Kluyveromyces lactis: one gene and its partner. The protein of the gene in region 1 interacts with the protein of each later gene in a pairwise test. Links are inferred from orthologs where the notes say so. Each region holds a gene or a part of one and is shown on either strand. Other genes may lie near its edges.

Region 1 (4,208 bases):
AGATCGCAGCTTCGGCATAAACTGTGGGTTAACTTCATCATCAAACGTTTCGCTGGAGCTTACAGACCCCGGAGTAGTAACATTACTCGATGATTTGTACTTCACAGTATCTTCCTCCTCAGAAATATTTAAAGGCCCGCATATATCTTGCAAAACACTTGTGCTATTGTTCGAAACAACTGATACCTCATCTTTAATCTTCGCGTCAAACATTTTGTTGATCCGTTTTATTCGTGAGTCACTAATCTTTCTCTGGGGAGACCGCAGATTGAGAAATTCAGGCATTGAACTCATATTATCGCATCAGCGTAATATTCAACTCCGAGCTTTGAAGTAGCACATATGCATTGGATATTTCCTTTTCGTGTGATTATAGGCGATGTTTCACCGAGGAAATTTCGATTGTGTATTTTTAAAGGTTTACAAAAATCCAAACCTTTAAATGTTGATATTATGCATCGGAACATGTAGAGGTAACACCGAAAGTGATATGCACCTAACTGGTCACCTAATTTCTATGACAGAGAGAAGGTCCATGATACTGTTTTTTGAGCACAGTTTTTACTTTTATCGTGGTTCAAAACTGCAAATAAGACTTGGGCCCTTTAATGACATAGAATTCTGTTTCACAATGAAGGGAGAAGTGTAGATTAATAATACTATAGATAGATTACATTAATGCAAAAATTATATGATATTTAACAGGCGCGTAGTATTCATTTATTGTCTAGAATAAAAAAAGCAAATGTAATTACATGACACACGCACAGCTAGAGTTGGTTTTAATTGAAGTTGAATTGCTGGTTGACATTTGATCCAAATCCAAAAGTGTTACCAGCTGTTTGTGGAGCCATAGATTCATCAACAACATCATCTTCATCACTAAAGTACTTTTCAATGATCTTGAAGGCCTTTTCGTAAATTTTTTCGTTAGCATTAGACTGTAAATTGAAGATCTTTTCCATACCACCAGCTTTCTCAATGAAATCAGCATTTTCGTTCACGGCAATACCTCTGACTTCTCTATCCATTTCACCCATCTTCAAAATATTTTCTATAGCATCTAGTGTAACCTCTATGATTCTGTTATCAGCAATCTCTAATAGATCGCACAATGGTTTTATACAGCCTTGACTGACCAAATATCTGATAATTTCTGGCTTGTGTAACCCACCAGAAGAGGCATTCGAGATGGCCCAACATGCTTCTTTCTTTGTCTTATATTCTGCAGTTTCCAACAATCTGATTAATGGTGGAATTAAGTTAGCATCAATAACGGCTTGAATCTGTTCCGTATTACCAGCGGTTATATTAGAGATGGTCCAACAAGCTTCCTTTCTTATGGATTCCTTTGGAGAAGCCAATAGATTTCTTAGAGCTGCCAAGGCTCCACAGTTGATAACGATCTGAGTTTGCAAATCGTTACCTGTGACAATGTTACCTACAGCTCTTAGAGCAGGGGTTTGCACTAACGTAGATTGGTGGGATAGTAGTTCTACAAGTCTCTTTGGGATTCTAGCATCTACTACCGCTTGGATCGAATTAACCGGGCCATCGGAAAGATATGAGATAGCCCAACAAGCATCGACTAACGTTTCAGTATCCATGGAGTAGATTAGCTTAGACAAAGTTGGCAAAGCTTGAGACACGATAGACCAATCTGGTTGAGGTTTCTTACCACGACACAAGTTAGATAAAGTCCACGTAGCTGTTCTAATCAAGGAAGTCTTGTTCAATTCGAACAAATATAGAATTGGTTGCATGGCACCACATTGCAAAACGTAGTCTCTATAATCGGTGGAATCACCAGCAACGTTACCCAAGGCCCAAATAGCTTGTTCCTTCACTTCAACCGAGTTTGAATATAATAATTGAATGAATAATGGCACAGCACCCGCATCTACGACGACTCTAGTCTGCTCAGAAGTACCAGAAGCAATGTTCGTCAACGCCCAAGCAGCTTCCAATTGCAACATCTCAGGTTGATTTTCGCTCATGAATTGGACCAAGGTTGGCACTACGCCAGTACTGATAACCAAATCGATAGGTGGTCTGTGTTCTCTAGACAAGACTTGTCTAAACTTGACCGTCACAGCCAACTGTTGTTGTAGATCGTTAGAATGGATTTGTTCCAACATAGCAGGCAACTCCTGTTGTAATTGTCTGTAGAAAGAGGAGTCCTGATCGTCATCATCATCATTTTCATCATCAGAATCGTTACCAACAGGCGCATTGAAATTTCTTCTTTTTGCTAATGCCTCATCCCTCTTGACTTTTCTCAACTCGACTTGTTGAACGTCTCTACGACGACGTAATTCATCAGCAGAGAATCTACCCTTATTCTTGAAGTTTGTCCTCCTGTATTCAGGAACAAACTTGCTGGAAGTGTCACCGTCCATCTTTCACTTATAAAATAATAAAACGGATACCTGCTATCTGATCCTTCGTGCTAGCCGCGAACCAAAGAAAATTCAGAGAAGTAAAAAAAAAGATTGTAACTAATTCCTTTCTACCAAACTCACAATCACAATTGATCGTCCCGTCTTTTCAAGTAGATATTTTTGCAAATGGGTTCCAAATCAAACAAAAATAAAGAGAAGTTGGATTTAAAGAAGAAATTATCAGTCGCAAAATCAATCTCTAACAATCACAAATAGCGTTTCCCCTTGAGTAAATGAAAATCTGATTCGTTTCTTTGTATTGCTTGACAGAAAAATATATCGGAAGCCAAGAGCACCGTATTGTTTTATATATGTAACAGTGTAATTGAAGTAGAATGCAAACCAATCTTTTATTCAATCCCATATAATATCCATCTTGATTAAAATCCTTCTTTTTTGGCCATCCAAAAAATTCGAATTTTTTTTTTTGGTTGAAATTTCTTTGCCAGATAGTCGTGATGTACGGAGTTGTCACGTGACATACCAACCTCGTGTAAGAAAACGACAAAGGTTCTAACATCAAAAGACAGGAAAAGATGGGCAGGGTCAATTTGACACACTTTTCAACACATATTAAGAGATGTATATACGTATACATAATATATTTGGGATGGTTGGTAATATAAATATATCACCGGGGATTCCTTGTTTTCGTTCCTCATTCATTCTCATGATACACACACACTAAAGTATACATGAGGGTAAGTTGATGAGAGTAGAAGCGAAAGAATTGTGATACAATCAACTAGCATAAGTTCCTTTTTCTATTTCCCCCTTTAGTAAGCATCAAAAATACATTCACTGGGTATTGGAGATGGATGGAATGATTTGAGGGAGAGAAAAAGGAATGGACAAAACCGCTCAGTTGATGTTTTATTGACATGTTCTCTCTAGCAGCATTTTGAAAATGTCCCTCACAAATAAATGAGTGCTCGAATGAACAGGCGGGAAAGATTCAGAATTCAACGCCAAGAAAGAAACACGGTTCACCTACTGCACTCCATTCCTTTTTGTTATATATATACTCCAAATATCGACGATTATGAATTTTCACAACACACACACTGCTGTACGGTTCATAAACGTCAATTTTTTTTCATTCATGAAATGGAATAATTTTCAAATTAGGACACAGATAGATGAGATTGAGTAGTATATACTGTGTTAATTTAACACAATACACTTACACTCAAAACAAAAAATTTGTTAGCACGCGACACGACACACGACACACATTCACGACACGCAGCAACGACATAGGTAAGGTAGTAGAATAATATAGGTAATTCATGGAATCAAACAACCAAGTAAAAAAAAAACGAAATAAAAAAGAACAATCAAATCATTTCCTATGCATCCAGTGTTGGATGTAAGCGAACAGGGTTGACGAAGATTGATAAAAGTGAGGTGAAAGAAAATCCTTAAGTTTTTGTGATATAGTTTGATAGCAACGACAGTTAACGAAAATAAAAGAAGAGGGCCAACTTTTCGAGTATCTTTTTTCTTGGCATTTCGTTAACAATTGGAAGTTGACTTATAACAAGTAGGCAGCGATACCAGCAACCAAGAAAGAGCTGGAAAATTTAACCAAGTCAGCATCGTTAGCAGTTTCAGCTTCCCTGTTGTTAGTCTTATCGAATCTACCGTATCTGTGAGTACCGGTAGATGTAGGGGAAGAAGAAGGAGCTGTCTTGTTGAATCTACCGTATCTATGAGTACCAGTAGATGTAGGGGAAGAAGATGGAGCTGTCTTGTTGAATCTACCGT
Region 2 (2,738 bases), on another chromosome or scaffold:
GATTCTATGAGTTATAACAGAGACAAACGGATTCTCGAGGGGAACATCAAGCGTGAGGTACAAGATCCATGGTCTGTGCTTCCTGAACAAGATTTAGAATCAGCAGTTGCCAGCCTGCATGGCAGCAATGAGAATGATATGAGTCAAAGTGCTGGTACTGGTACTGGAACTGTAGGAGTTGCCAGCAGTGCCAGTGGCTCAATCGGGTCTGTTCCACCGCAGTTGGCAGACAGTAACAATGCTCATGGTAGTAATGGATTCATTCAACGGTATCGTATGAACAGAGCCATCAAGACTGTAACTGACCTTGCAAGGGAGTACTACGAGGGATTACCGGGTCAGCCATCCGTGATGGCTCTTGAAAGAAGGTTCGGATCTACTTGGAGAAGCAGTGCAGGTGAAAGAACGTTCTTCCATAAGAGGTACGTAATAATACAAAGGATAGAAACGATTCTTCGTGAACCTTCGAGGTTTAACCTCCCGCTTGACATCACCAGAAGGAAAGCTGTACGCGTTATTGAAAACTTACGCGTGGGTAACAACAGATATAACAACGGATCGCCCTGCTGTATGACCTTAGCACAACTTTACCTCTATTTCTCTAAGTATATGGATTCATATGACGATTATTCGTTATCATTGAAGAACAAAGACGCTCCAAGTATTCGAGAAATCAAAAGCAGGCAGAAGAAGAAGACTCCATCCCAGTTGGCAGAAGAACATTCCATCATGACATGAGACCTGTATGACGAACTGTATGTAACTTTTTAATTTGATATTCTATATTCTATATATATATATATACAAATATGTGCGAACGTGTAGGATACCCTCACCTACTTCTTGACCGGTTTAGTCATTGAAGCCCATCTCTTTGAGTCCTCTGAGAACAACTCCTTCATTTCTGTTTGTTTCTGCACCAGGATCGCAGACCAATCATGCAACAGGTCAACGTATTCTTCCTCTACTTCCACAATGGCAACGTCTTGCAGTAAGATATCTTCGCTAGCAGTGAAATCCACCTCATCTTCAATGGCACATTTTCTAGTGAATTCAATCAACTCTAGTGCCAGGTGAGGACAGTTGCCATTCCTTTCACTGATCGATTCTACTAACCATTGAATTCCCTTGATATATATCCTGTAGCTGTCATTGATACAAACAATGGTCTCCTCACTAACGACCAAATCCTCATTCAAAGTCTTAGAGATCGTTTCGCCTCTCATCGGCTGTGTAATGTAGAAGTTCAACAGGTCTAATATTTCAAACACTTTGATTAAATATGCTCCCAATGGATCGATCACTTCGTTTAACCGTTTTCCAATAAGATCATTCTCACCTTCAAACGACCAGCTGTGTAAAACATCAGCCATGAACCGTAGTTTCTTAACGTACTTGATCAATGTCATCCTTTCGAAACGTAGCGTGCTCACACGACGCTGGACTGCGATAAGGTTGTTCAAATAGTCCACATATCTTGATATATAATTTGAATATGTGGAAACCAATTGTAACACAGCATCCAGAATCTCTTTCGAGATAACCACTTGACAGTAAGCCATGATAACTTGTCAAACTAAACCAATTGAGCAGTTAGTGGGCCCTTTAAACGGTTTTTAAATGCTTTTTCTTCATGCCCATCGCTGGTCTTCACCGGATAACATTAAAACCGAAAAGCCTTAATATTTAAAGAACCTAAGAATATTGGAGAAGTAAACCTTTAAATACCGAAACACAATACACAAATGTCAGTTAAGAGTTTAGTTTACTTTGAAGTTGGTAGTTGTTACATCAGTTGAGACAAACAACCAGTGCAACATGTCCAAGTTTAAATTTACAGATTTGAAGTCGATTCCTGGCAAGATTGAGCTTGCTAAGCAGTTTTACAGGTCTCGACAAGCCAGGTTAGCCCAAAGCAAGTCCCCTAGGGCTACTGATATCAATGAGAGGATCAGGAGTTTGCAGAAGCTTTACTGGGCAGTGAAGGATAATGAGGAACGTCTTATTGCAGCAGCAAGTAAGGATTTCCATAGGGCAAGAAGTGAAACGCTTACTATTGAATTAGTCCCCTTGTACAACAATATCCTTTATTTGATTAAAAACATGAAGAAAGAGATCGAACCAAAGAAGATTAAGGTTAGTTTACTTGCACATTGGTTCGGTACGACTTTCGTGGAAAAGATCGCATTGGGGACCGTTCTTGTCATTTCTCCGTTTAATTTCCCCATATTATTGGCATTGGATCCATTAGCTGGAGCCATCGCCGGTGGTAATTCCGTGGTGTTCAAACCTAGTGAATTGACACCAGCATGTGCTGAAGTAATGGAAGAGATATGTAATGAGGCGTTTGAAAAGGGTCAAGTGGAGACGGTGCAAGGTGGCGCTGAAGAAACAAGTGCTTTAGTCGAATCCGGTAAATTCGATAAGATATTTTACACTGGATCTACGACCGTTGGGACAATCATAGCAGAGAAGGCTGCTAAGAGTCTAACACCATGTGTATTAGAACTTGGTGGGAAGTCTCCAGTGTTTATATCCCCCAACTTGCCTAAATCACAATGGGAGACTGCAATAAGAAGAATTTATTACAGTTCTATGGGGAACGCAGGTCAGATTTGTGTCGCCGCAGATTATGTCCTATGCCCTGACTCGATCTACGATGAGTTTGTTGATTCTTGCAAGAAAGTATTGAATGAGTTTTACCCTTCTGTCACCTCTGACACTGAATATACTCACAT

The links.
Region 2: the proteins of SRP1 (region 1) and SHE2 interact in a two-hybrid assay, tested with the Saccharomyces cerevisiae proteins (3 studies listed by BioGRID). The link is inferred for Kluyveromyces lactis from reciprocal best matches to the Saccharomyces cerevisiae genes SRP1 and SHE2.

What each region holds. Positions count from the first base shown.
Region 1 is NC_006040.1:729,407-733,614, forward strand, and holds SRP1 (karyopherin alpha), read right to left. Parts: upstream 2,400-4,208; coding exon 783-2,399; downstream 1-782. Other genes in the region: KAR1 (Kar1p), read right to left, coding at 1-294; KLLA0_D08624g (uncharacterized protein), read right to left, coding at 3,976-4,208. UniProt on the Saccharomyces cerevisiae protein: Functions in nuclear protein import as an adapter protein for importin beta nuclear receptors. Binds specifically and directly to substrates containing either a simple or bipartite NLS motif. Promotes docking of import substrates to the nuclear envelope.
Region 2 is NC_006038.1:1,092,421-1,095,158, forward strand, and holds SHE2 (She2p), read right to left. Parts: upstream 1,563-2,738; coding exon 837-1,562; downstream 1-836. Other genes in the region: EUC1 (Euc1p), read left to right, coding at 1-738; HFD1 (hexadecenal dehydrogenase), read left to right, coding at 1,819-2,738. UniProt on the Saccharomyces cerevisiae protein: RNA-binding protein that binds specific mRNAs including the ASH1 mRNA, coding for a repressor of the HO endonuclease. Part of the mRNA localization machinery that restricts accumulation of certain proteins to the bud and in the daughter cell.